Linked DNA regions of Astyanax mexicanus. The protein of the gene in region 1 interacts with the protein of each later gene in a pairwise test. Links are inferred from orthologs where the notes say so. Each region holds a gene or a part of one and is shown on either strand. Other genes may lie near its edges.

Region 1 (7,499 bases):
TGAAAAGTTGCACTTCACTTACAAACAAAAAAGGTCCATTGTTGAGTATAATTTCCTAATATACATATCCAGTATTAATTCACCTCATGAGTAATAGTATAAAATGAATACAATTAAGAAGAAAAAAAATCTGAAATCTGTTGCAAATGAATTGTATTTACAAACATATTACAAGACACCACATGTGAAAACACTACATGCAAACGGAAATATGTACAAATGTAAAATGCCCATGAAAATTCCTGACAGAAAAAGGAGACAGTATTTAAAAGAAATGCAAAGATAAAAGGATAAAACTAGACAAAGCTACTTTATAAACAGGAATAAAAGTGTGACGATTTAGGGTGGTGTCTGATTTTTTAAAAGAAAGGAAATGAGAGCAGAAGCAGTCAGGTCACTTGGATCCTCCACAGAGGGTTGTGAGTCGGCTCTGTGCAAAAGAAAACAGAACAGTAAATCATGTGTTTTACAGTATTTAAGGAATAACAGGCTTCCACTTCACAACAAATAAATACCTGCAGCTGTCTGATACTGCGCACCGCCTTCTCATCCAACTGGCTCAGATCAATACAGTCCATCTCACTGGCCAGCAGCTGAATACACTGAGAAAAGAGGAAACAAAGAGAAGCTGCTGTTATTTTCTGACTAAAAAATAAAAAAGGACACTTGAATTTTTTAGCTTGAGACAGAAGAAGCAACAAACCTCTCCACTTCCCAGAGGGACATTAATGACAATGTCCTCACTGCTTCCAGCAATAGGAGATCCGTTAACAGAGATGCTGTACACCTTCTCTCTGTGACGGGGAACTCGCACTGCAGGAGTCTTGGGCAACCTAAAAGATAAGAGTACATCATACTTAAATTCACATAATTTACCCCCAGGAAACAAACACTGACATTCCATTAAAGAGTCAACCAGGCAACCATGTTTAACAGTAGCCAGTAGCTGATTAAACCTGGCTGCTCTATTAACAGTTTCTTTTAGTCTGAAATTTGGCCAAATTAAAAATTATGGAGTCACCTGGAATCAAAGCGAGGCGTGATGAGTGGTGTCGGACCGATTATGGAGGAATCCAGGAAACTTCTTGCTGGGGTGACCAAAGGCTTTCTACTAGATCTGCAATCAAATAATAATTTACCGGTAAATGAACATTTATATACAATAGTTAATGGTCACCTAAAATGAGCAAAATGTAGATAAGAAATAAAACTTACTTTCTAATAGTGTTGTTCTGTTTGCTGACTGAAAGAGCTTTGGCTTTCTTTGAAGTTGAAGGTGCCTTCTTTTGCCTTCCCTGTGATAAACATGACAAAATTAGGGCAATTGTAAGCCATAGAATAAGGATGGATAAAACTTAAAAAAAACAAACATTTAGCTCTTTAATCTTAATTAAAAAAATGCAAATAATGACAATGATAAAACGAAGAGGGGGGGGGGGGGGGGACCAAACATATCTGAATATGGCAAAACAGAATATTCGCACCTTCAAAATACAGGACCACAAAATTGTTGCAGACCTGATTTCTTTGTTTAGCTACATAATATCTTAACAGTTTAGACTGACCTTTTTTGTCGTAGACTTGGGTACTAAGTTCTCTTCATTTTCTGAGCCTGAGCTGATCTTAGCAGCTATCAATAAACACAGAAGACATGATTAACATCACCATCACAGAAATAACTAAGAATAATATCAAAAACAAGATCAAAAGAAAGCAGTAGTTACCTTTTTTGGCAGACTTTGGAGGAACAGCATGATCATGAGCTATGGTCATCTCTACTTGTGCAGCCACCTCCTTTTGCTGCAAGCAGAAACAACAGATGAAAAATAGAACATGTACATCTCACACATAAAACCTTAAAACAGTCATTCCGAGATGATCAACAGTGGAAATGAGGACTTGCCTTGGACTCATCGACAGGTGCTTCTGGCTTTTCAGAATCTATGTAAAAGAATAAAACATAAGATTCAGAATGTCCTATAACAGTATCCCTTGCCTGTTAAAACACAAACTCTTAACACCTGGTAGATAAACAAAGAACACAATGTGATAAAACATGAATGGAATTATGTAGCTAAAATGGACGGAAGTGTGTATGTACATACCACAGTACTGAATCCAGTTCATCCGTCGCACTGACATAGGCAGCTTGATCAGAGCCATGTTGTACAGGTTGTCTGCATCCTTTAACAGATTGTTGGTCTTGTCCTTCATCCTCTCCACTATGGTGCGCACTGTGTACAAAAATCAATAACATTTGATGTTAAAATGTTACTGAAGCTGAACAGTCCCCTACTAAAACCCGAGATGAGAAACTACGACGAAATCTAACTACTTCCTGACACAAACAAGAGACTAATCTGGTGAAAGGTGAGCTTAGTTTTTGGGGCTAAACTGGATGTAGTAAAAAACATGAAGAGGCAGATACTGGCAAAAATGTCTGTCTGTGTAATGTTTTATAAAGTTGGTGGAAGGGCTTCTCTATGATCAGAGTCATACATTCAGCAACAGACTCCTCCTGTCCTGCTGTAGGTAATTTCTTCTTGCAGCCATGAGATTATACAGCACTGTAAATCTGTTTTTACCAATGATATTGCATTATCTGCACTGGACACTTTCCTTTTAATTATTTTGCCCAGAATTTTTAAATTCACAGCTACCATGCATGCATCATAGTAAGTACTCCAACTATATACTAACTACTCTGTGAAATATCAATACTTTAACACTACTACTTATTAATTATCTTCCAATGTATCCATCCAATCGTCCGTCCGTATCATTAAGGTCACACTGCCATTTGTTTGTCTAGCCAAAAAAACCCTGATCCTTTTCGTTTATAAATAATTGGTTATTCAGTTAAACATATCATACAGCAGACAAAAAAGTGAAATTAGGTTTAGAGGATTTACAGAAAGTGTGCAATAATTATTTAAACAAAATTAGGCATGTGCATAAAAAACATTTAACCAATAAATCTACATTGTATTTTGCACGAGTGTATGTAACTACTACTTATTTGTCAATCTATTCAATTTGTCGGTCCTGCTACAAATATACATACAGCTATACACACAAAAAAACACATTCTGCACTATATACATAAAAATATATATAAAATAAATTTATAGAAAAACATAAAACATGTCTGTGTGAATTGAGTAAAGGACCCAAAATAAAAATTACTTAATAGCTGTGATAAAAGCTGTGGAGCTGTGGTCTCCATCAAAATTAAATTTCCATTATTGTCATTTTCCTGTTAAAGGCAGTTCATTATACCAAAACACTAGCTAGAATTATAATACAGTATAGGTTTAACATTGGAATAATACAAAAATAATAAACAAAAGCTTAAAGCTCACATTTTAACCATATTTTAAACATTTTACCTGTTGGGATCCTCCCAGCTGGCATTTTAACTGTAGTTAGTCTTTTTTAATGCAAGCTAACTGCGTAAGCAGCCTTAAAGTTAACAATAGTCAATGGTTTTAGTGTAAACAATCTTACCTTCATCATCGAAGTCCAGAAGAAACGCTTCTAATTTCGGCATTTTTATATTCTTCTTGGTTTTAGCGTTGGTTGTTCGTTTTCTCGGAGCCATTGTGTTTCTGTAAGAAAGAAAGACGCAATGCTGAGGCTGACTAGCTAACTACTGTAGACCTGTAACATAACACTAGGCCAGATAATTACACGCTAAATGTTTAATTTTATGCACACTTAAACGTGTAAACATTGTGTTAACAACACTTCTAAGACAATATTCTTTACCTACCTGTTCTGAATTCTTTATATTCCTTTATATTTCCTTTTATTTTTGTATATTTTTCTGCTCCTTTCGCTGCTTTTCGACGCTCCCTAAACTGGTGGCGGTTGGAAGCAACACTTTTCAAATTCATTCGCGGAGCAGCAGCTCAACCAATGACCGGGCAGCTTCTGTATGCGTCTATTACGCCGGCGTCACGGACCAATCAGCTACTGTTTAAGGAACAATACAAAAAACGACCAATCGCTGAAGAGCTTAGTGGAAAGCATGTGTCATGTGTTTTGTAGCTTAGTCCGAAAAGATTTTCTGTCAAAATAAGAGCCCCCTTAAATGGAATAAAAAAATTGTAAAAGAAATACTATGAACTAGTTTAATAATATATAGAGTATAAAACTAATTAAAAGCTTTTTGAAACATATAAACGCATACATAATGTAGATAATAAAATAAAAAGTAAGAAATTGTACTAAAACAAGTATTATGTTACACAGTTTTGCGGAGATATAACTCTAATAATAAAAAAGAGACATTATAAAGAACAGTATGTTTCTTACTTTTTCTTTGATTATCTACATTATTTTATGCGTTTCTAAGTTTTAAAAAACGTTTAATTAGTTTTAAACGTTATATATTGTCAACCTAGTTCATAGTATTTAATTTACAGACTTAAAACAGAATTTTATTACATTTTGGGGGAACTTTTATTATGACAGAAAATCGTTTTGCACTCTGACTTGCATCAAAATGCTGGTGCTGGGTTTGTTAATAACTAAGCTAGCTAGCACGTGTTGGGTATTAGATGGTAAACATTCTTTAGAAGACTATAGAAAACATATAACTGGGTATGTTTATGTTTGTCAGATATGTGAGCAGGGATTGAGCGTTTAAATATATACATTGAGCATTTATATTTCATACTGAGGGTTGATATGTTGGTCAGATTAGCAGTATTGGAGCTAGCTGCACTCAGACAGGCGGTAATTTAGTAGTCTATAGTTAGTTAGATTAACTATGTCTCAGCCTGCACTGCTGCTCTTACAGCAGGAGCTAAGGAAATGCTTCCAGAGTGTTCAGGTGAACAAGGAGGTTTGGAGATCTGCTCTGGTCGAGTGTTCACCTCTGATCAGCTCTCTGGGGAACCTGGCCGAGCAGCTGAGGGCGCTGAAGAGTGTAGATCTAGCCAGCACTCCGCTCTGTCACTTTCCAGATCTACAACCACGTCTCCAGCACAAGCTGGCACAGGCAGTAGACACTGTCTTAGGGAAATTAAGTGAAAAAATGTAAGTTCATGCATATATACACTTTAACTTGTTGCTGTACATACAGTAACAGTCACACCTCTTTTCATTCAATGTGTTTTCTTTCTTTTTATGATTTTTTTACATTGTACATTTAATATTAAAGACTATATTAAAGCTGTACAGTAGATATGGCCCTAAAATAATATCACAATATTTCATGGTATTTCCATGATAACGGTACTCTTAAAGATATTACAAAATACTGCAACAAAATGAAAATTAAACTTTATCATTGCATTATTGCACAATATGATATTGACTTATTTTTACCTGCATTTCTAAAGCAGGGTAATGAAAAGGAACAGTCCTTTTCATTTGGCATAAGGAAAACAAACAAATATAAAACAAGTTAAATAAAAATTAACACACAAGATAAAAGGTAATGCAGACAAATATGTGTTCAAAAACAGTTTTTTCAGTTTTTTTCTGTAAAATAAACCTTTAGCTGTTATTTAACAAACCAATCACATTTGGAAGGCCAGAACTACATTTAAAAGTTCAACTTTGAATGTATGTCTGAAACCTACACCGATTTCTTGCACTGCAGGTTCTTGGTGAATTAAGTCTTCTGATTCTACAGATACATGCTATCAAGTATTTTATTCATAATTTCAAAATGTTATGTATGCTTTATACCTCTCTAGCTCATGTCTAGCAATTGGCGAATGCAGTGTATGTATATGAAATCCTGTACTTAAAGGAAGTGAGGAAAGTTTTTCCTGTTTTGGGTTATTAAGATTTAAACAGCGATGTTATGAATTTTCTCATCCATGAGTGTTTTGTTTTATTGCTCTGCAGAGAAACACTTCAAGGAGTTCGGGATTCCACAAGTAAGCAGGTGTTTGCAGTTTTCCAGCTGTATGAGCAGAATGCAGACTCCCTGGATCTGCACACTTGTGTTGCCAGATCTGCCACTTCTCCATCTATTGCTGATATGTTGGAATGGCTCCAGGATGCAGAGTGCTACTACCGTGTTCAGTATCCTAGACGTGCTAAGATTCATCAGTGGCATTTAGAAATTAACCTGACATTTTTCTTTTTATTTTATTGCTATCACCGGTCATGTTGATATCATAACATTTAAAACATTGAATTTTAGTTTTGTTTTACTATAATTGTTAATAGAAATGTAATAGCTTTCCCCTTGCCTTATCACATTTCAGATTATGATTTTATGTTAACCAGTTTGAAACAGCTAATTTGGTCTTTTCTCTGGTGCCAAATGTTACACGATAGTTCAGTCATCACAATAAAAATGGCTTTTTTAGTTGCCAAAACAACAATGCTGGGCTGTAACATACAGCTGTTTTATTAGCAAATAAATTATACTTGTTTAGACTTTGTATTAATTCTTGATAAGAGTCAGCATCGGGTGTTTGATTCTAGTCACAAACCTCACAACTCTGCAACAAAAAATGTAAGTAAACATGTGAATATTCTGACAAATCATGCCTTTTAATGCAACCGAAATTGTAGAAATGTATTAGGATGAGCAGCATCTGAGTCTCAAAGTCATTATAATTGTTAATGATATGGCGCTCTTGAACAATAGGGCTGGTCGGATTCTTTAGATTAGTCTAGTATTTCAAAATGATTTTACATTTTCCCTTGATTTTAGTTGTTTTTGTGAGCCCTTCAAACGAAAAACCATATGTCAATCAGTTATTTTTTTCTTTTTCATTTGGAACTGTTTTTACAATAAAAATACTTAATATTCAGATGTAAGTCACAAAGGCAGTTAAAATAAAATAACTTAGTATAGTAAAGAAAATAAATGATTTATTTTAACTTAATAGATTAGTGTGAAAAGTAGAAGTATGTTATATTATTCTCCTCAGTTACATCCTCAGATACATACAGAGGAAGAACCTGTTGTGGACCTTAAAGCCTGATGACCTCACACTGATGGAAGCAGCACCAAAGAGATGGGCATCTTTAGATTCTCCTGATAAAGAAGAAAGAATATCAGGTAAAATAGTTCTGCCACCAACAGATACTGAAGCATTCTGCTGTTTTCCCATTCTGCTCTTCATTATATAAGTTATGTAATGTATTTATTCTGTGTTCTTGTTTTAGATGCACTTTTTCAAGTGTCCTTCTTCATGGAGTCGGAGTGAACAGTGTTACTGAGCCGTGTGCTGGCTAACCACTTTCTGCCCAGCTTACGTCACTCAGTTACGAGCACCTGGCTGGAAAAGAAGTGTCACACTTTGCTGTAATTACCAGACAGAGCCTTAGTAACATGAGTTTCAGAGATGTGTCTGGTAATGTCTGACTCTCATCTTTGTGTGCTACAAACTTGTGAGCTTGTGATTTGAGTTTTCAAGAACTTTAGTGCTAATACTTCATTCCATTTAAACTCAGATCTCGGGATTTCCGAGTAGGAAATTTCAACTGGAATGCCTCAACAAGACTGATATCCCTCTTAAAAAGTC
Region 2 (7,898 bases), on another chromosome or scaffold:
CTGGGCTTAAAATAAAGTACAGAAGTACTTTGATTACTATTGGGTTTACTTTGTCTCAAAATTACAGAATATATTAAGAAATCAGACTTTATTAAAATAACAGCTGAAGAGTTTAAACAACAGACTTTAAAAAGAGAACAACTAACACATCTTTTACCAAACTAAATATCTTAAATAGTTCCATAACCTATAAATGAACCTAAAATACTCAATGTAAGTATATAGGAGATATTTCTCAAAAGCTCTATTGCACAAGTAAAACACAAGTTTATCAATTTACAGTGTGTTATTATTGAAGCCATCAGAGACATTACAGTATTTAAGGAGCTGTTTATTAGTTTATCATAATTCCCCTAGTTCTCCAGTTGACAAATGAATTAAGTCCGGTGTGCATTAATATTATCCTTTAAGCTACAGTATTAATTAATGTATTTAAACACAGCTTTAGTTACTCATATTGCAAGAAATAACAGCAGAGGCTGCAGGAGTTCTAATCTCATGTTTCTTTAGGCAAACCAGCGTGAGACTGAGCTGAGGTTACTGTGCTTCTTCTACATATATAAACAGAGCTCCGGAGCACCTCTAGTGGTAAAGAGAAAATGGTATGAGAAAAAAAAAAAAACATACTGTTTCAAAATCTCTCTCCGGTGTACCATACGAACCAGTATACCGCCCAGCATTACTTGAGTATCAGGATTATAGCCACATAAGGTCAGACTAAGTGTAAACACAATTCTGGTGGCTAAAATCTTACAGGATACAATCCAGATACTAGTCTGATGAAGTGACCAGTTGTACACAGAATCTTATATATGCAACAGAAAGTGATTAATGTTTTCTATCCACAGAAAACACATTTAACAAAACTATATGTATATTTATTTACACGCTTACAATGGCTTGTCAGTGAAACATTAGTTGGTGCCCATATACCACTCAAAAAATGTGTGTGGAGGAAGGTGAAGTTTGCCAACAGTGCCCAACATGTCCAACTTCTACCATGCAGTGCCCACAGTTAAGAATGGTGAAAGTCCAACACCTGCTAGTACCATATGTGATGCTACAAGAAAGGTCTTTAAGACAAGAAGTCAACCAAAACAGCTTTATAAAAAGAACAAGTAACATGTTGCTCCTAAAAGTACATTTTACCACATTTAAGTACTGCTGAAATGACCTCTAGCTTGGGTAACCACACAGCATTTTTTTTATTAAACAGATCTCTCGTCAGTGGCTATTCATCAACCATTCCCTTTCTAAAGCAGATGCAATATGCAGTCAAAGTTGTAGGGTTTGAGTCGAGAATCCAACAGAATTACTTGTACAAGGTTTGTTTTCAGGGAGAAAAGAGAAAAAAATAAAACAAAAAAAGGTTACATAAAAAAGGATGAACTGAACTAAACCAATACTGAAGCTATCAATGTAGCTATAAAACTTGACTATTCTCCCTTTCAGTATGACTAAATTATTTCACACTGTGCTCCTTAAAAAAAGGGATATGGTTTTTGTAGGTATACCGACTACACAATACATAAAACAAATGATCTACCCAAAAGAACACTCAAGATTTTAAAGTTTTAACACAGCTTCAGTAAAACACTCACTATTAAGTGTGTAAAAACCCTAAAATCAAGAACAAGCTACGTACAATGTAAAAGAAGAAAATCAATGAGTAGCTTCCAAACAAAATATTTTTTTAAGTAGTCTCAGACAGAGATGAAGCCTATCTTAGACCACAGAGTATTCTGAATGGAGATTCTCCATCAAAAGAAAAAAATATTCTATGACCAGGGTCAACCAGGAGTCCGGCCTTAGTGTGTAGGGGTTAGAAACTGACATTCCATAGAACAATGATTCATGCACAGTTGACTTATCCAAATCCCATGCACAAAAACAACAGTGAACACGTGCTTTAAAACACTACCACAATGCCTCGTGGTCATAAAAACAACAGGCATCGCAGGCAACTATTTTGCTTTCTGGAAAAGGAGGTCTTGGATGAACTCAATTTAAAAATAATCCCTTTCAGTCTAAATTTGACAAGGTTTGGTCGGCCATCTTAACCCAACCAAACTTGCATTCTCCGTTCAACAAAACCCGACACCACCCCCCACCCACCAGTCAAACCTGCTGCACAAATAATGTCCACAACAGCTGGTGACAAGGAGTTAAAAAAGACCAAGTGTCAGACATAGTTAGTTGTAAATACCTTAAGAGGAAAAGCTTTAACTTACTGCCATCAGGATTTTTTTTAAATCAATCAATCTACAGCAAATGAGCTCCAAGACCCCTAAACACAGAGGTTAGTCTACAATCTACTATAAATGAGCACTACATACCCGTCTCCACCTGGGGCTGCTGCATCTCCTGCTCTGTCACTGGGACAGTTTCTGTGGCTTCGCCTGGCATTGTTGTCTACAAAAAAAATAAAAATACATAAATAAAGAGCAAACTTTTTCAACTTTACTCACACAATCAGTAAACAAGAGTTTAATTAAGTTAAAATCAGTTAAATGATTAAAAAGTTACAAATTTCTTTAACACAAGCTGTACTAAACTGAACCAATGGTTAACAAATAGTGCAGGGTTTGGGGGAAATAAATTATATCTTTAAGACCAATATTATGCAAATCGATATATCGATATAATCGAATATATGTCTTGAGTTGACCATCAAGTGTTGTCATATTATAAGCAAATTTTCAAAGATCAGACACTCAAGTAATTCAACTAAATACATGTGGGAAAAGAACAGCATTAGGTGTGATCCTTGCCCATTTTTGCTGAATCATTATTTTAACAAGCCAATTCTCAAAAGCTCTAGTGGTTTACGTATTTATTTGTATATTGACATAACCTCGTAATATATTTGCTGACCTTAGTATTGCCCCCTGCGTTTACTTAGCTAGCAGGAAGAACCCATTAATGTGAAAGAGTTTTACATTAATGATGTTTAATATATTTAGGATATGTAAACAAACATTAAGAATAGAAGTCCGGTGCTCTGTAGAATGTAATGTGTAATGCTTCATTATGGTTAAATCAGTAGCATTACACATGGCTTGGAATAACTATTGCAGTTTTAGCAGTATTTTCTGGGACTACAGCTGTTATATTGTCCAAAACATTGGTGAGAGGCCTACTAAAAACCAGAGTAGATGTGTTAACCCAAAAGAGCATATGATGAAGTAGCTGTGTCACAAACCATTTAAAAGATGTGTAAATCTCCCTACAGCATTCTGTCATTTTAACCAAGTGTAGTTGCTAAGTGACTGAACTTTGTAATTAAGTTCATTACAGGACAGTGTGTGTGTGTGTGTGTGAATCTGACCTTATTTGGGTTATGTGCTGAAGATAAAACTAGCTCTTTTTAAAAGTAGATTTTTAGCTTGCAGCTGTTACACCATTTAAGTTAACAATTTAAAATGCTTTAACTCGACGTTTTAGAATATATACAGCTCTAGAAAAAAAAAAGAGACCACTTAAAAAAGTTTTTTTGGATTTTACCAAATTGTAAATCTCTGGAATATAATAGAGAGTAAGAAATAATCACAAGCCATCAAACGAAGTTGAACTGCTTTAAATTGTGCACCAGGAGTGGCATACATTTATCCAAAAGCAGTGTGTAAGACTGGTGAAGGAGAACATACATGAAAACGGATATTGAAAACCAGGGTTATTTCACCAAATATAGATTCCTGAACTCTTAACTTTATGAAAATGAACTTGTTTTCTTTGCATTATTTGAGGTCTGGGAGCTCTGCATATTTTTTTTTGTTATTTCAGCCATTTCTCATTTTCTGCTATTTTTACCAGAGCCGTATAGTTGGCTAACTTGTTCTAACACAAACTCTAGAAACTGTTAGGATACAGGTTATGAAATTGTTTAATCATTTGTGTTTTCAGGATTTTAACCTTAAAATATTTGAAGTCATGTGCTCATAGTGACAACATAATCGAATGAGCTACTCACATGATTTTTTCTGAATATATTTCTGAATTCAATAATTAGAAGTGGGTCTGAGCTCTTGAGGGTTAAAAAGTAAATGTAACAACGTTGGTAAGTTAGCTAATTAAAACATGACTAACTAGTTACCTAAGGTCAGTCCAAACTACGAACTATCTAGTTAGCTAAGCTAGCTAACGATCTAGTAGCTACCCTATGTATTAAAGTGCTTGGGGAAAGGGCTTTAAGTCATGTTTAGCTAACTATTTTGGCCTTTTAAATAACGTTGGGCTACTCAGGCTAATCTAGCTAACGTACTAAAGGAACTATAGAGCGTTAGGTACTGTAAAAAACGAAATACTACACATACATTTCCATGTGCCAACGTGACTAGCTAGCTTAGCTATCTAAAATGTTCTCCATGAACATGCTAGCAAGACCTGAAGCGCTGCTACCTATCTAGTTAGCTAACCGCTAGCTCTCCAGTTCACAGGCAGCCCAGACCTTAGTGTTCATTAGCTAGCTGGCTGGCCAACCTTACGAACCGGCTCTCTCACTCACTAAACACTCTAAAGAATTTTAGCTTCACTAAAAATCATTAAGAAAAGCCTATATACATATATAACTAACTATATTACTAAAAAACACAACTGTCATGTTCCAGCCCAGCCAGACAGAAGGCGCTGCCTCAGCTCCCCCATTTTGAAGAGTCTGCCGGCAGCATTGAACCACAATATCTAATATTTGGAGACGCGAAACGGGCCAATACTCAGCCCTTATCCGAGAAGAGCTTTTACCCAACGATTCTAGCCGGTTCTGGCAAAGCAAGCAAGCGTAGAAAGCTCGGATGCCACAAGATTGAAAGAAGGAACACTTACTAGGTCTGGGCTCGGGGTCCAAGATGGCTGTGAGAGAGGGTTTCTGACCTCTGCGTCACTGTGACATACACACCGCGCTTCCTGTACAGAGACAGGCCGACAGGAAGGAGCTGCGCAGTTTATAGCTGAAGATTAGCGCTGTCTGCTTAGCGCTATACACAGACAGGTGAGTGCTGCTGCTGCTGGTGCTCGTTTTCCTGATTTAAATTAAATTATTTAACCTAACGGTCTCTGTTGGTGGATGGGTAATACACAAACAGTAGGCCTAGCTAGCGAGATTAGCTAGCATTCGCTAACTTTGGGCTAACGTTACTATAACGCTGTTGTTGTGGGTTAGCTAGCTGGCTAACCAAGCTAATGTGAAGCTAGCTAGCTCATTTAGCTAACCTGGGTCCACACACCGAATTAGATACTATTTAGACGTATTAACGGGTTGCCGTAAGGATTAACGACCTCTAGGGTGAATAACAGCTGTGTAAATATAAATAAGCTAGTTAGTTAGCTAGCTATCTCTTTTATAAACAAAAAGCCTCCCCTTCAGTCTAGCTAGGTTAGCTAGTTAGCTTAGCTAGTTTAGCTAACTAGTTAGTAAATAAGCTGAGTGGTTCTAACATAATATCCCAGTAACTCTTGTGCTGCAGTTGTGCCTTACTCAAAAATAGGTAGGTTTAACCTCTTTCATGTAGTTTTCGTTTGTTAATTTAGTAGCTAATTGTTTCTATTAGTCAGTAGCTAGCTAGCCTGCTAATGGAATGTGTCCAAATGTTTAACTAACAGATGAATTAAATGGGTACAGAGTACCAATCAAACGCTTGGACTTCTCATTGAATGTGTTTTCTTTTCTTTTTATGTTATTTTTTTTACATTGTAAATTTCATATTAAAGACAGTAAGTCTGTACAGGAACAGCAACATGTGCAATTATTTTGTCAACAAAAAGTGTTAAACAAGCAATACTTGCTGAAAGAAATTATAAAGAAAAACATTAAATGAGAGTGTGTCCAAACTTTTGGCTTGTGCTTTCTGACTGCCACTTTCAGCAACTATTGTGCTGCTGTTGTGCCCTAGTGAGAAACACAGAAACTAGCTTGTGATGAAGTTCATCTATTGATTGTGCAAATTTTGTCTGTTAGTGTGTAGCTAGCTAATGATATGTGTTTTTCTCTGATTAACTGTAGAGACGTATCTAGCTGGTGGTTTAGCAGATTATCTATATGAGTGGGAGATATGTCATAAACGTAAAAACACAAAAAAATATCAAAATAAAAGACGTTTTAGTTAATGTTCTATAATATCTATGGTATGCTCAGAAAAAAAACAGTACTGTCACATTGCCCAGTCGACTGAATGCCATTCATTGTATGTGCTATTTTAATTCCTGCAGAATAATGTCTATGTCCCATCTGTATGGGCGTAGAGGAGGAGAGGAAGAGGAGGATGGGGTCGAGATTGAGAAGTTTGAGGTGTCTGAATGGGACTTGGCCAATGAGTTTAATCCAGATAGACGTCGGCACAGACAGACCAAAGAGGAGGCTACTTACGGAATATGGGCTGAACATGATTCTGATGATGAAAGACCCAGCTTTGGAGGCAAGAGGTACCCAAACATTACTTTAATTTCTAAAATTAATTTATGGTTAGAGGTTGTTTTTTTTCTGATACCACACTCAGGAAAACACTTATTGGTTTGCTAATACATAATGTTTGCTATAAACAGTGTGAAAAATGTGAAGATTTACATAGCAAATCTGTCATCACCCTCTCTAAATGTAAAATGTGAACATTTATGCTCAGAGGGCTTGATATGACCAAAATTTATATTGTGATATGTCATGTTTTGGTCAATGAGATATAAAACCTTTAATAGATTTTAACAGTATACAAGTCACCACCTGGGGTGTATTTAATCATGCACAGATTGAGCTGGGCAATATGGTAAAAGTATTTTATCTCAATATAACACAATACAGATATTTTCCTGACACAATATTTATCACAATGTTTTAAACCTCTTCTGCTGCACATCATCCAATTAAACAGGATATTTACACCCCTTGTAATTAAATGTAAAGTTGGGTCAGAGTACTTTAAACCCTGATGATCCTTAATATATTTATTATGATGATGTTAATATGGTAGGAATATTTATTACCTTCAGTTTAGACCCATTCTATTCTTTCATTGAATATATAATTTACCAATTCCCTATTTCCAGAACCACCACTTTTAACCTTTCTATAAGCAATAACTGAAGTCAGTTACTAACTAAAACAATTAGCATTAGGATGGTTTGCTTCTGTTTTTGCCACTGAGAAGATTCTAATTTTGCTCCATATGTGAAAAACTGTGTAGATCGAAGGACTACTCAGCCCCTGTGAACTTTATAAGTGCTGGCCTGAGGAAGACTGCAGCTGAAGAGAAACAACAACAGCAGCAGGGCTCTGATGATTCAGACGAGAATGAAGAAGCAGCAGCACCACCACCACCCCGTGCTACTGCACCCAAAAAGCTTCAGACGGTAGTGCAAAATACTTACATTTGTAATGCTGTTTTTTTGCCATTTCATTTTGCTTTGTGGGTATTCTAGCATTCACAGCTAATTTCACTGAATATAATCTGGCAATTTGGGTCTAATGTCTCATTTACGATCATGCTTTTTTGTAAGATACATATTTCAACACAATTGGGTATACATACGTTGCCCATGATATCGCAAGACAATTCTCTATGATATTTCAAAGCATCTGGATTACTAAAGAAGATTTAAAATTTATTTAAAAAAAAAAAAGGTAAAGACCAGAAATGATTGGATGATTTGGATTATAGATTTATTGGTGTCAGTTTCCCAGATTTTGACAACCATTATTTTTTAACCTGTTTATTTGATTAGTGCCACCACGTGGAGTAATGAAGCAGTAACCTTATTAAGTCAAATTTGGGGGGTTTACAATGTCTATGTTTCAGGAAAAATATTGATATTTAATGCCTTGTGCCAATATTATTTAGCTTTTCTAAGACTTATAGATTTCATTGTAACTATTCATTTGGTTTACATCCTCCAGGGTGGGAACTTTAAGA
Region 3 (7,095 bases), about 22 Mb from region 1:
GGGAAGTCAGATTTAGGAAAAATGTCTGTTCAGTTTTACATAAACCATAAACCAATCTGCTGATGTTGGCTTCTTCCACATATAGATTCATAGGTTGTCTCCGCCCACAAAAAAAAGAGGTGGCTCATTACTGAAGAGGACCTGCTACCATTCTAATCGCGACTGCCCACCAAGTTTCATTCTTTCTTTTTTTATTCCTTCTTTTTTATTGGCTTTTGGCTGAAAGCGGTTTGATGACAGTGCCCATAGCAGTTCTATAGTAAAATTATAAAGTAAATGGGTGTGTAGGGCACTGGGATTAAATTATGCAGCACCGCCTGCCAGATGGCAGTATTGTAAACAGGTCATGTGTAGTAGGCCTATTGTCTAGCCTTATTTAATGGGGTTCCCCAAGGCATTGCAACTTATAGATGTATGTGTGTGAGTTGCTGCCTATGAAAATTTCACTGTCCTTACCATTGTCTGGTGGGCCTCTGTCATATATTGCCTTTACAGAGAAACCCTGACCAGCTCTTTTTTTTTTAAGAATGTGTCTGGGAGATATTCTGACACTCAGCTTTGTTCAACACTCTACTAAAACATCCTCATTTCAGCCTCCCTGTCCTCCCAGCATTAACATGCATCCTGGGAGATCTTATCATAAGTGGTTAGCATAAAGTACAGGTGTGAACGGGAAACAATCAGTCCTGATGACACATTTCAAGCCTTCAGAGGTGGTTAGAGATGCATATTGTTATTGTAGTGTTATTATTATATTATTATTGTAGTGTGACGATCAAAGCACCACCCACATTAACTGCGTCATGCTGCCCCTGCTGAACCAAGCTCATGGCAGGGTGTCTATGAATTCTTCAAAAGTCAAATTTTGTTCTAGAAAAGGGTTTTACTTGTCTTTAAGTTTCTTACATTATAAGTAAGTAAAGGTCTAAAACATAATAAAACTAAAAACAATTTTGGCTTTATTTTAATGTTTTTCATTTTCCAAATTCCATATGCCTCAGTTAGCTTAAATTATTTTACTGATTTAACAGCAGACTGTAATAAGCAAAGCCAATAGCATTATAAATGGCTCAGAGGGTTGCTATTTTCACATACATAAATTACTTTCTTTTAGCTAGAGGAGACAGTTCTCCAGGAATTACTAAAAACAGTAGACAGTAAACTCCAGTTTAGCCCCGGATTTGGTCGAAATATTGGTTTGTCATAAAAATACAAGAACCACAAGCTGGGTGTGCTGAGTGGTCCAGCAGTTTTAAGTGCTGCCACTATGACCAGGAGATCGTTGGTTCGAATCCTGGTCATGCAGCTTGCCATCAGCTGCCGGAGCCCTGAGAGAGCACAGTTGGCTTTGCTCTCTCTGGGTGGGTAGATGGCGCCCTTTCCCCTCTTCCCTCGTAGGTTAATGACGATCAGCACAAGGCGTCTGTGAGCTGATGTATCGGTCGCTGCGCTTTTCTCCGAGCGCACTGTGATGCTACTCGGCAATGCTTCATCAGCAGCAGTTTGAAAAGAGGCGATGTCTGTCTTTCTGATTCATGTGCTAGTATTCACTCTCCTTGTCTTGTGGCATCACTTGTGATGGAGGATATACAGTTGACTAGCAGCTGAATGGGTGGGACAATAGCCCTAGCTACATTGGAAGAAAATAGGGGAAAATGTACATTTAAGTGAGTGTTTTGGGCTTTTAGACATAATTATTATTGGGAATGTGGTCTTAATTTGTATTTGAGTGGTATTAAAATGTCTTAAATGTAACTCTACCAAACCTGCAGCTAACCTGTACTGGGTAAAAGTGATACTTGTGACTGGTGTCCAAGTGAAAATCCAGGCAAAGAAAACAGGAAGACTCCTACTACAACGAGCTCAGAGAATATTGTGAGAGCGGCTGTGTGTTTTTGCAATCATTTGTGACTGGGGCTTAAGGTTCTGTTTCATCTGGTTACCATGTGGATCCATAGACTAGTCAGACCTGGCAGCACAGGCTGTTTAAGCAAGTGAATATAGCGCCTCCTATTGGTGTCTGAATCTGTATCTATATACAACAGACGATCTGTTGATTCCCTATTTTGGAAACATATGTAGTTACATCTCTAGTGAGCACAAACTTGAGAAACATATATATGAATATGAATTCATGCCATGTTTACAAATCAGCCTTTAAACAGGTTCATTATTCAGTGTGGACCCCCATAAGGACCCCTGGGGTTCAAAAGAGAACTGATGACATTCTTGACTTTTCACCTCACCTTTTCACCTCACATAACTGGAGTAGAGCAATTTATGACAAATGACCTGCACTATCTGACCCACTCTTACTTTCCTCTGCTTATGCTGAGTGGGTGTGGACACCTGCAGCCCATAAGCATATATTGAGTGCATGCTTATGTTTACTCAGACTCATGCATGTGTGCACAAACCTGAAAAGTGTGTTTCTATTCATGATACATTCACTGGTAAGACTTTTAGCAGCAGTGATATATTTTACTTTACAGTATCCTGTATAAACTACAGTCATATCAGTTTTGTTTGGTTGTTGTAGATAAATTGCAATAAAACACATTGATGTTGAAATATCAAAAAGCTCCAATTCGTCCTAGTGTCCAATTATTACTGAACGTAAATGGAACTCTGAATTGACTATAACTGAAATGTTAGTAACAAATAATTGTGTTAAATTCTTCACATCAATATAAAGAAACTCATTGTGTGGTTTAACCACATTTCAATGGTTTGCAGTTAAATTGTGCATTATAAAGTTTTATTTTTGTCAGTGTAAATGCTTATTTTTCTTCCATATTTTACAATTCCCTCCAACAAAATTACAAAGTACAAAGGGATAAAACAGTGCAAATATGTGCAAATATTGGACGAAAAAAAAGTCTATCTAGCAAATCCAATGTAGTGCCATGCGAGCCACCAACCGAGCACAGTGCAGCCTGATTTTGGGTGTGTCAGTGTCTCTTTGATATCATAGTTATGGGAAAAATACTCCTCGCATGGCTTGAAATGCACAAAAGGCATGTACTAATTCTCTTAATTAATCATAGGTGTTTTGGGTACAACATAAAATAAACCTACTAGCATATCACTTGCCTCACATTCCCTTTAAGAACCAGGTGTGCCCTCTGACTTTGGCAGATTGGCACTTCTGCACTTCTCAGCAGAGGAAACTGACCAGGCTCGTGCACACTGTGAAGGTAAAGCAATGTTATTTTATTTTGTGTTAATTATGTTAATGTAAAAGTTGGGTCGTGCAGTGCTGCTGCCCAGATAGCAATAAACATCTGACATTTCAATGTTGAATGCAGGGTTTTAATAAGTCAGTGGCACACCTGTGTTTTCCATTTCCCATTATAGCAATATGCCAGAAATGTACCTATGTGTACATATATATTTATAAGCGCCTTTGCTATTTGAACAACACTGGTGGAAGACGTGAAATAAGATGTGAGATAGGCCCCTGAAAGTGTTCAATTTTGACACTCGCAGCGTTAATTTAACACTATTAAATATACTGTATAGTCTTTTTTTTACTGGTTGTCAATAATATTTTAAGAAGGTATTTATCGTTCCTCCATAATAGATAATGCTCCTTTCCCAACTAAATTGTGCAGATGCTTCTTGATATCATAAATGTTTTATTAATACTTAAACCTGCAGGTGTAATATAGTCTTCTATGAAACTATAACTAGTGTAAGTTAGCTGTATCACCATACAGACCCTTAGGGGTTAACGGCTTATCTACTGAATGTATCATGTTTAGCAGATTGACTTTACATAACTCTGAGCTGAGGAAAGTTTCTCTGTGAGGATTTATAACTGACATTTTGGAATCTGCTGTATTATTACTTTTCAATGCCTTTGTTGGGTGGGTGTAGACACCTGCAGCCCATATGATTTGTGGGAGTGTGTGCGTGTGTGTGTGTGTGTGTGTGTGTGTGTGTGTGTGTGTGTGTGTTTATGGACTCTTGTGCATGAGTCTATTTGCCTTCAGGGGTTCAATAATCCTCCTCCTCCTCCCATTCACTCTCATTTATTCCCTCCCCTCTCAACCTGTATAAAAACTCACCATCCCTCACTGCTGCACTCACTCCTCTTCAGCCAGAGCAGACTGACAGAAACCCTTCATCAACATGAGCTCCACCTACTCCACTCGTGGCTATTCCTCAGGGGGATCCCTGATTGGAGGATCTGGTGGCTCAATGCGCATGTCTGCTGGTGGAGCCGGAGGCCGTATGGGTTCCATGCGGTCCTCTAGTGTGTATGGAGGTGCAGGAAGCAGTGGGGTTCGCATTTCCAGTGGTCCTGCTCTCCTCCGTTCAGCTGGAGGTGCCGGAGGCGGCTATGGCTTTGGTGGTGGTGCTGGAGGAGCTGGAGGTGGTTATGGCTTCGGTGGTGGTGCCGGAGGCGGCTTCAACATGTCCGATACTGTTGATGTGTCCGCCAACGAGAAGGCCACCATGCAGAACCTCAACGACCGCCTGGCCACCTACCTGGAGAAGGTGCGCTCTCTGGAGAAGGCCAACGCCGACCTGGAGCTGAAGATCCGCCAGTTCCTGGAGAGCAAGACATCACCCACAGCTCGAGACTACTCTGCATACTATGCCACCATCACTGACCTCCAGGGCAAGGTATGTTGAGTTGTTTTGGTGGTCTTAAAGGACCCTTTAAAGTGTAAGATGGGTCCATTGGTAGGTCAGGACACTCTAATGATCTGAGTTTCTCTCAGATCATTAAACTTATATTGTAAACTTATATTGAGCAATAAGCAGATGTTTAGGCCGTTCTTCTGTTTACTTTACAATGACTGAAATGTTTCTGGGTTGACCTCCTTCCATTACCGTATCAGTTATTCTGTATGAGTATAGTTTCCATTAGAGTGTAAACCACACCCAGTGCCTACCTCAACCCACCATTCAGTTAGAACATAAAGCACTCCTACACAACTCTAAAGAAGGGCTCATCTCAAATAATACCAAACAATGCAGAAATACCACTGACCTTTCAATGTGACTTAATGCTAATTTGCTTCTTTATTCTTTCTTGAAGATCCAGGATGCCACACGTGTCAATGGAGGCATCTACCTTAGCATTGACAACGCCAAGCTCGCTGCAGATGACTTCAGAGTCAAGTAAGTCCAAAAAAAACAGACGTAAATCTTAGCATTCCTCATAAAACTGAACATTCTTGCAGATTTTTGATCCATCCATCATGTCTTACACAGATACGAGAACGAGCTGGCGATGAGACAGTCTGTTGAAGCTGACATCGCTGGGCTGAGGAGAGCTCTGGATGAGCTGACCTTGGCCAGGTCCGATCTGGAGATGCAGATCGAGGGTCTGAGGGAGGAGCTGGTGTTCCTCAAGAAGAACCATGAGGAGGTGAGTGTGTCAAAAAGCCAGAAAAGCCAAACTGACCTGCAAATATACTTATGTCATCATGTTGCTTTAAGTCAATGGTTTGTTTGACACTGTTTGACACTGTCCTTGCCTTGCATCTTCAGGAACTCTTGGCTGTGCGCTCCCAGATGAGTGGACAGGTCCACGTAGAAGTAGACGCCAAGCCACAGGAAGACCTCAACAAAGTCATGGCTGAAATCCGTGAGCACTACGAGGCTGTCGCTGCCAAGAACCGCAGAGATCTCGAGGCTTGGTTCCAGGCCAAGGTAAATTAAAGCTAAAAATACATATATATATATAAGTTTTGGGTATTTCTCTGTATTTTATAAACTGCGAACCTTACTGGACTGTTATAATAGTTTTTTTGTTTTAACTTTATTTTTCATAGACCGAGACCTTGAACAAAGAAGTCGTCAAAAGCACAGAAACCCTCCAGACAAGCCGGTCAGAAATCACAGAGGTCAAGCGCACACTGCAGGGGCTCGAAATCGAGCTTCAATCACAACTCAGCATGGTATGTAACTGGCAGAACACATTCGCCTCCAATCAAATTAAAATAATCTGTCCTGGAACACCATTACCAAACTGATCTCTCCCCAACAGAAAGCCTCACTGGAAAACACACTTGCAGACACGCAGGCACGCTACTCCTCCAAGCTAGCTGGCTACCAGATGCAAGTATCCAACATGGAGGAGCAGCTGGTGCAGCTGCGCGCTGACCTGGAACGCCAAGGTCACGAGTACCAGATGCTGCTGGACATCAAGACCAGACTGGAGATGGAGATTGCAGAGTACAGAAGACTGCTGGATGGAGAGACCAGTGCCAGGTGAGTTTCCACAGCGAAATAGCAACATTTATTGTATTACGCATTTTTCTCAGAATTTAGACTCAGCAATAACAGCATTAAATGTTTTCCTTTTAACTGACTGGTCTTTTTTTTCCTCAATCTTTTTACCTGAACAGCACAACCGCGAAATCGACCTCCAGCTCCAGCACAACCCGCAAAGTGGTGACCATCGTGGAAGAGGTGGTGGACGGCAAAGTGGTCAGCTCCAGTTCCAAGGCTGTGAGTGGGACCTTGTGAACAAACTCACAAGTACAGCAAATACGAGCACTCTGAGCATCAAGAAACCCATCGCTACCTGATGCACAAATCAATAAAGTGTTCAAAGCATTACTTAAGCTTATGAGTGTGTTTTTCAGTTATTCTGCTTATGTTATGGAATATAACGATGGAACGGGTTGGGATGCTGGAATTTGTGTATGGCCTAAGGTACTACTTGTAGAAATCATTTGGGAAAAACTATGAAAAAAGGATAAGAATGATCATGAAATGCAAATAGTGTAAACATGATTAAATACATACATTTATATTCTTAATAGCCAACATAACAAGAATGTAACTATGATAGATTTAGGGTACAAGCTCATCCTTCTCTGATTGACACCATAGCACAAAATACACTACAAAAGCATAAAAAAGCATGAATGCCACATACTCTCAACTTTGTTTGTTTATTCAAATAATATTTTTTATCTAGATATGTTCATGTCGATAACAAACAGGGGGGTAAATTCTTAAGCGTGTTGGGGTTTAGGGTTGGGATCAGGTTTTGGGGGTGATGTTAGGCTTAGGTTTTGGGATAAGATAAATATAGTGATCATGGTGAGGTTTCATATACAGACAGACAGA
Region 4 (7,633 bases), on another chromosome or scaffold:
GCTGGTCATCAGGGGGAAATAAATCCTATGCTGAAAAGCCAGCTGGTTGACCAGTTTAGGTCTTGAATGCTTGATGAAATAGCTAGTCCATCACAATCATCAACAATACATCCAGTATGGTATTTACAGTGATGCTGGTCATTCATCTTGGTTAGGTAAGTCATGTTACTGGACCAGCAAAACCACCAAACTTAAACAAAAATATACGGTATGATGGTCAACATGCTTTGTTACACTGTTTGATCCTTTTCAGGATTGCCACCAAAATGCTGGTCAAAAACTAGATCAGTCTTTACCCGTTTGATTAGCTTGAGTTGGCCAGGTTGTTTTTTTTTTTTCTTCAGCAAGATTCATACAAAGTACGCCAAATAATCCTATAAAAAGAAGGGTGGTAATCCAGATGTACTCTAACAAAATGAATTTGTCCTTTTGGTATTTAGTTCCCCCCCATTCTGAAATGTACCAAAAATGAAAACAATTCATTGTGCAGTTTGAGATCATATCATGCCACAACTAAGGATGTTTTCAGACATGAAAGTTCATGTCTTCATGTTCATGTGTTTGGTTTTATGGTATACTTTTGGTCCCGTTTGTTTAGGGGAATCCAACTCCCCTTCACCTGCACCCCGCAGCAGAAAGAGTGTAAATTATCATCATCATATTCCTTTTTTCTGTTTGCAATTGTGTTAATCTAATGTTACAGTAAATAAATTATTCTCAGTCTAAATGTTCGTGTCCATACTGATTGTTTTTAAGACTGCCTCAGTGTTCTGTAATTGGTCCAAAAAATCTGAACAATCTAGAAAAGTGCTTTCATGCTGCAGACGAACCAGACTATGGTTCAGTAGATCCGGACTAAGGCAATCTCTTTTGGTTGAACCAAACTCTGGTCCTTTGGTCCTGGAATGAATTGCACACCTGCTACTTTGGTTCGGAACGAACTGAAAAGTCCAAAAGGTCCTGACCAAACAAGATAGGATGGAAAAGCCCTCTAATTTCCTAAAGATCAGTCTTTAACTACATAAATACACACATGAATGCATATAAATGGCATGTAAAAACGTTTTGCATTCTTTTCTCACCTGTTTCAGCTGACTCCTCCTCTTTGACAACAGCATAATGTTCTCATTCAGGGAATCCCAGTCTTTAGCCTCATAACACATCTGCACTATGGCCACCAAAATCCTGGATGTGGACACCATGTCTGAAGCCTGGATGTAAGAAAAAAGGCGAATGGCATTACAGCTTAAGTTTATATAACTGTTTCATTTTTCATTTAATATGATTTGTCGAGTAAGGTGAAGAGTGATGGAACAGGCAGACTAACCGTCCTTGTTTGCTTCTCCAGAGACAGCAGGCCTTCAACAGCTTCCTGAAGTCTCCCTTCCTGACAAGATGAAAAAGCAACAATACATTAACAACTTAATTACAGTGCATTCCTACATTGGGATCTCTTTTGCACATCCATGCACATTTGTATCGGCCAATAACTGCTTTTTTTTTCTTCAGCATCGATAGATGCCGACATAGTTGCAGACGTTGGTTACACTACTACAACTCCATTAGCTACTTTAAAATGTGTATGTATTTGTACATCATTGCATCTCTAGTGCTTTTTCAATCAATCTGAGGAAGACATAGAGCCCTATTTTAGCAATCTATATCAGAGAGTCACTTGCCATTCTATTTAAGAGACAGCTGTGCTCTGACTTTGGCGGATTGGTATTTAAGCGTCTTTGCTATTTAAACGATGCAAGTGTAAGGCATAGACTGTTTGCGGGGTGTACGATAGCCATGAGCATCACAATGCCCCTTGCACAGGGTGCAAGATAGGGCCCAGGTTCTCTTAAGAGTTCTTCCTTTTTATCTGAAGGATTATTTTTCTTAATTAGGCTACTAAAGAGAAGTATTGACTTTGCTGCTTTTGATAAGAATCTTTGTGAAAAGCACTATATAAACACATATGAACTGAAGTAAATTGAATTGGATTTCATTTACAGATGTTTTACATAGTTATGTTTTGCTTTAAACTCTTCACTACATACAGCTTTGGAAAAAAAATAAGGGACCACTTTACCAAATTGAAAACCTCTGAAATATAAATCAAGAGGAAGATGGATGATCACAAGCCATCAATGTATGAGCATCTGAATGTAGGAAATCGGGCCTGGACTGACTCAAAACACAAAACAAAGCTAAAACAATGACCATGTATTTGGTTAATAAGTTGGTTTGCTGATTTTAGTCCAATTCTAATACAAATCACTGTAGTTAACAGTATTGTTACTGGATATTTTCATTAGTGGTGAACTAATGTGCACTAACTAATGCTTCTCTTACTATATCTGCTTAAAGACAAGAACCAAATCCATGATTTCCAGTAAAGAAAGGAGGAAAAACAGCTTTCATACTGATGGCGTATAGCTTTATTAGCAGTAAATAGACGTAACCCTTTAAGTAAGCCCTAAGAGCAGAAGACTATAAACACTGTAACTACAGTTAACCTACTGTAAAGCAAGTCTGCACTATAGTGTCACTATGACCAGCTAGTAGCTAACTACTATATTTAACATTTTGGTCACATTTAAGCCCATATTTCAGTTTATTACACATAAGGAGTGTAAATAGGTGCGTAACAGTAGCCAGCTTGGAGCTACACATTCGTTAACTTAAATAAAATCCACTAAGCTAAGCTAAGCTAAGCTAACTCAGGCTAGGCTAAGCAGTGCGATGTAATACAATGTTAGACTAGGCTAGCCTATGCTAAGCTCACTCTCCGCACCGTGACTCAGCCGCTAAACTCCCGTTTCATTCAACTCACTTTTGCCATTTTCTCACACTCAGGGAGACGCTGGTCTACAGTCGAGCTGTAGTCGATCTCCATCTTCACAATCTTGCCATCCGACCTCTCAGACCTGTCGTCAGACATCTTTATATTTATTTAACTGTGGTTTAAAAGAGAACAACAAATTCACCCGATACCTTCCACACAGGCTGCTAATGTGCTACACAGCTAAGCGCTGCAGACGAAACCTATTTCTTCTGTGGTCGCCGCTGCGGAAATACACCGAGTTACAGCTACAGCCGCCAGGAGGTGGTGTGCTTTCACAAGTTCCCTGCATATTCTGCTCCCCCTGGCTTCCGGTCTCAATACAGGGACAATATCTGAAAAAAAGAATATAATTGAAAAGTTACTTTATTTCAGTAATTCAGTTCAAAATGTGAAACTCATTTACACAGAGAGCAATCTATTTTAAGCGTTTATTTATTTTATTGTTGATTATTATGGCTTACAGCCAAGTAAAACGCCTAAATCAGTATCTCAGAAAATTTTAAGATTATATAAGACCAATTGGTACTTTTGGCAATGTGGGCAGTGTGCCAAGTCCTGCTGGAAAATGAAATCCTCATCTCCATAAAATTTGTCAGCAGAAGGAAGCATGAAGTGCTGTACGATTTTCCAGGAAAACACTGCACTGACATAACACAGTGGACCACGTTAGACCTCTACCTCCACTTTTCCTCCAGACTCTGGTTCCTTGATTTCTAAATGAAATGCAACATTTACTGATGATCAGTGATGGTTTGAAGAGTCATGTCATCTGCTGGTGTTGGTCAAAGTCAGTGCAGCTTCTACCAGGAGATTTTACAGCACTTCATGCCTCCCTCTGCTGACTTTTTTTTGCTGACTGATTTTACGGAGATGGGGATTTCATTTTCCAGCAGGACTTGGCACACTGCCGTTGTCACAGCTCTGTTTTGGATCTGCTGGAGGAATACCAATATTTGAGGTTAACAGCATATCAGTTCCACGTACTGAACTATTATTGTTAAGTAAAGACAAATCAAATTTGATATTTGGGGGGGTATATAAACCTGTACATTTTAATTTAATAACACCAATCTGTCATTATTGTGTCATATAAAAGAGTTAAGAATGTCAAAACTCCCTTCTTGGCTTGAGCTGGATTTATTAATTGTAGGCACTAAAAAACTGAGCAATTGTATCACTGAATATGTTGTCTTCAAAATTATTAGCAACATTGGCAATGTCATTCGATTAATTGCAGAAATCCAGTAAAAAGGACTGTACCAAAACAAATACATTTTCACTCCACTTATTTGGAACTTCATCAGGCAACTTATAAGGAAAAGTATGTACTATAACCACAGCGTCAAATCAAACATTACAGAAGTGTACATGTAATTCACATGTTATTACTACAAAAATATTATTTACATTTTATATATTTTAAAACAGTAAATGTATAATTTATCACATACACATACGTATATTTCTTAAAGGTTTCCAATATAATCACTGTTTTAGTAATAGACAATTTCCAAACTTAGACAATGTTTGTTTTACAATATTTACATAATAGCAAAATATTAACTCTGGTGATAATTACAGGATGTTATTGTTACGGTGTCTGGTTTTTAATTTTTATCTGGGCCTTTTTTTTGTAGTATAATCTTTCCATTATGATTTATAAATCAGGCAAGCAGGATAAGCTACTAACTACAGGGTCCTTCGGGTGCAGAGTTGTGCAGGGAAGCACAATATGATGCACCGCCTGAACCGAATGATCAAATGTTGGCGCGCCCTCTAGCGGTTACATCAGAAAGTGTCGTTTTTTTGTTTTGACAAGCGGTGCTCTGAGTTAATGACAGAAGAGGGGAGCCGGTGACAGCTAGCTTTGATTTTATTAATGGTTCTGTCCGCGTTATTAAACCTATGTGCTCCTGTCAGAGCGCCGCCGAGTCCGCGAACAGAGCCGGTCTAGAGAGGTCTGTGCGGGCCGGAGAATTTCAGGCCGTTTTACGGCTTTGTAGTTCACGTCCAGCTTCGCAGCAGCAGCAGTAGCTAGCTTAGCTAACTTAGCTTGGCTAACCTGTGTTAGCTTAGCCTAGCCACCCCTCAAACTTCCTCTGCGGCCGTTTGAATAAGGAAGCAGCAGCAGCAGCCTGTTAGCTTAGCCAGGCTCTGCTAGGCGCGTAAACACAGCTCGCCATGGAGGGTGTGTCCGAGTGAGCGCGTATCTCTGTCCGGGTAAATACAGCGCCTTTTCTCGGGAGAAATGGGCGACGGAGCGAAGGCTCAGCGCCGGGAGCAGCTGAAGCGCTGGTCGGGCTCCTGTACGGACCAAGAACCGGCGGTTCCGCGGAGGCGCTGGAGGGGCGAGGAAGAGGAGGAGGAGGGCGACGAGGATGAAGGCGAGGCGGTTCTGGAGGGGAGACTGCGGGATGGAGACGGACCTGTGCGGAAAAAGAAGATTAAACGAAGGTTTTTAAATTAATCTCAACATCTTTTAAACACATTTACACGGCCTCCTTCATCTTTACAGCAGCGAGGCTAAAGCCCAGGCTGTTAGTCAACAGCAGAGCCAGAGGTTGAGCAACCAGTGTCTTCTTTCAGGCCAGGTAGCGTTATCTATCTAATCAGGATCACTCCTCTACAGATTCAATTTACTATTTTTGTTGTCTCTGGGACTAAGCCATTTGTATTCAATACATACTATACATTGATATTAGGTCTAAAAGTGTAATTAGGAGCTCCGAGTGGTCCAGTGGCTAAGCGCTGCCTCTATAATGAACAGAAGATTGCCGGTTCCAATCCAGGTCATGTAGCTTGCCATCAGCTGCCGGAGCCCTGAGAAAGCACAATTGGCCTTGCTGTCTCTGGGTGGGTAGATGGCGCTCTCTCCCCACATAGGGTGATGTATCGATCAGTACAAAGCGTCTGTGAGCTGATGTATCGGAACCGAGTCGCTGCGCTTTCCTCCGAGCACGCTGACTACTCGATAATGCTGCCTCAGCAGCCGTTCAAAAAGAGGCAAAAAGAGGCTGACTTCACATGCGCCAGAGGAGGCATGTGGTGTTGGGGCATCACTAGTGATGTCCAAATGAGTGGGTTGGGTAATTAGCCATGTAAATTAAGGAGAAAATGGGAAACAAATAGAAATAAAATTCTATATAAAAGCGTAATTATAGTATAGTATTCACACACTGAAAGAGCAGGTTGATATGGTTTTATTATCATTTACTATTAAGTTATATCACATGACATTTTCACAATACACATTTATCATATATTGTCACAGACAAATGCATCAGCTGCATCAGATTCTAATATTCTGCTACTCAAATGCCCTTTCATGTATAGTACTGTGATTCCTATGTAATTTTTTAGTTTTGTGTTTATTAAGTACTTATGGTACCCTTATTGATATGCTTATATGATGTGCTTATTGTCAAAATCAATATAGTGTTCAGCTCTAATACATATTAAGTCACATGATGTCACAAGAAATATATGTCATTCTCATTAGATTATAATTCTTTATTATAAAATACTATTCCATTATCATAAGATGACAAGCCATTCTATATAGTTATTCATTATTAAGATACTAAGCATTATGAGATGCTAAGCCGTGATGTAATGCTAGATCATTATCGTGAGATTTTCATCTTTATTATGAGATACTTAGCCTTTTTATGAGATACTAAGCTATTACAGTTAGTTACTAAGCCATTACATTAGATGCTTGGTAAGTCATTGTTTTGAAATAGCAAGGGATTTCAGTGAGATACTAAGCCATTATCCCAAGATGAAGTAATTATCATGAAATCATAATCACATCTCTTTGTGACATACTAAGCCATTACAATTAGCTACTAATTATGAGTTACTTAGTCATTGTCATAAGATTATACATTTTTGTTAAATAGTAAGCTGGTATAATGAGATATCATTATCACAAGATAACATCATTATCATTTGATAGTTATTATGGGTATCGAAATTGTCTCTCCCTTTCTGCCGCTGTCTTTCCATCATGGGCTGTGTCTCGTCTCGTTGTATCAAAAAATTTACCCATTCCTAGTTATGAGATAGTAAAATATTGAGATATTAAATTGTTATTATGGGAAACAACATAATAAATAAGTTGGGGAGTTTGAATTTTAGTACAGAAAGTAAAAATGAAGAGAAAGAACACAGGTTTTTGTTCTCACCCTCCAGTTGGGAGTGGACTTCCATACTGACAAGAAAGAAGCCCACAGTGTTCTGTCCTACAACACAATATACATAATACAATAGAGGAGAAAATGCTTGTGCCGGAAATTATAATTACAGTACAGTACACCCCCATGTTTGTTTATCAGTAATACTGCGATTTTCATATGTTGGGTTAACCATAACAATCCCATGTTATCAAAAATAAGATGATATAATAAAGTGATAGATGTTTTTCTTCATGTGGTGTAATTTGTTGCATTTGTGGCATTTTAGATAATACAAGTTCAGAAAATACATAAATGAAAAGGAGCCTGTCACATATTAGTTTTATTAGTGCACTAGATGGGTCTGGTTTCTTGGTTGGGATCTTTCGGCTGAAACTCAGTCGTTTAAAAACAGAGGATGACATTTTGAAATACTAAAGGAAAGGAATGGGGGGTCAGAAACGAGCTATGACAAGCATGGAACTCAGGATAACGTGGTCAGTGAGATAAAGAACAACAGAAAGCTCCACATGGTTTCGTTTTGGTGTAGTGCTTGGCTAAGATGAAATGGAAAAATGGCTTTTAAATAATCTCTGGGTGTGTAGTATACATTGTTTAGCTTGTT

What was found.
Region 2: the proteins of c19h1orf109 (region 1) and tfip11 interact in binary tests that used the Homo sapiens proteins (3 or more experiments, as listed by UniProt). The two-hybrid records come from large-scale screens. The link is inferred for Astyanax mexicanus from reciprocal best matches to the Homo sapiens genes AIRIM and TFIP11.
Region 3: the proteins of c19h1orf109 (region 1) and keratin, type I cytoskeletal 13 interact in binary tests that used the Homo sapiens proteins (3 or more experiments, as listed by UniProt). The two-hybrid records come from large-scale screens. The link is inferred for Astyanax mexicanus from reciprocal best matches to the Homo sapiens genes AIRIM and KRT19.
Region 4: the proteins of c19h1orf109 (region 1) and ppp1r12c interact in binary tests that used the Homo sapiens proteins (3 or more experiments, as listed by UniProt). The two-hybrid records come from large-scale screens. The link is inferred for Astyanax mexicanus from reciprocal best matches to the Homo sapiens genes AIRIM and PPP1R12C.

Annotation. Positions count from the first base shown.
Region 1 is NC_064410.1:53,551,203-53,558,701, reverse strand, and holds the start of c19h1orf109 (uncharacterized protein C1orf109 homolog), read left to right. Parts: upstream 1-4,495; 5' UTR 4,496-4,774; coding exon 4,775-5,043; intron 5,044-5,862; coding exon 5,863-6,042; intron 6,043-6,914; coding exon 6,915-7,033; intron 7,034-7,140; coding exon 7,141-7,181; 3' UTR 7,182-7,499. Other genes in the region: cdca8 (borealin), read right to left, coding at 395-430, 516-602, 704-833, 1,022-1,117, 1,216-1,295, 1,566-1,630, 1,725-1,800, 1,904-1,941 and 2 more. UniProt on the Homo sapiens protein: Part of the 55LCC heterohexameric ATPase complex which is chromatin-associated and promotes replisome proteostasis to maintain replication fork progression and genome stability.
Region 2 is NC_064420.1:33,029,883-33,037,780, reverse strand, and holds the start of tfip11 (tuftelin-interacting protein 11), read left to right. Parts: upstream 1-4,897; 5' UTR 4,898-4,987; intron 4,988-6,204; 5' UTR 6,205-6,208; coding exon 6,209-6,417; intron 6,418-7,172; coding exon 7,173-7,338; intron 7,339-7,882; coding exon 7,883-7,898. Other genes in the region: naca (nascent polypeptide-associated complex subunit alpha), read right to left, coding at 2,337-2,406. UniProt on the Homo sapiens protein: Involved in pre-mRNA splicing, specifically in spliceosome disassembly during late-stage splicing events. Intron turnover seems to proceed through reactions in two lariat-intron associated complexes termed Intron Large (IL) and Intron Small (IS).
Region 3 is NC_064410.1:31,872,319-31,879,413, forward strand, and holds keratin, type I cytoskeletal 13, read left to right. Parts: upstream 1-4,075; 5' UTR 4,076-4,134; coding exon 4,135-4,632; intron 4,633-5,050; coding exon 5,051-5,133; intron 5,134-5,226; coding exon 5,227-5,383; intron 5,384-5,505; coding exon 5,506-5,667; intron 5,668-5,789; coding exon 5,790-5,915; intron 5,916-6,004; coding exon 6,005-6,228; intron 6,229-6,365; coding exon 6,366-6,486; 3' UTR 6,487-6,579; downstream 6,580-7,095. UniProt on the Homo sapiens protein: Involved in the organization of myofibers. Together with KRT8, helps to link the contractile apparatus to dystrophin at the costameres of striated muscle.
Region 4 is NC_064412.1:31,240,524-31,248,156, forward strand, and holds the start of ppp1r12c (protein phosphatase 1 regulatory subunit 12C), read left to right. Parts: upstream 1-4,633; 5' UTR 4,634-5,081; coding exon 5,082-5,287; intron 5,288-7,633. Other genes in the region: psmd12 (26S proteasome non-ATPase regulatory subunit 12), read right to left, coding at 1,083-1,211, 1,328-1,387, 2,822-2,929. UniProt on the Homo sapiens protein: Regulates myosin phosphatase activity.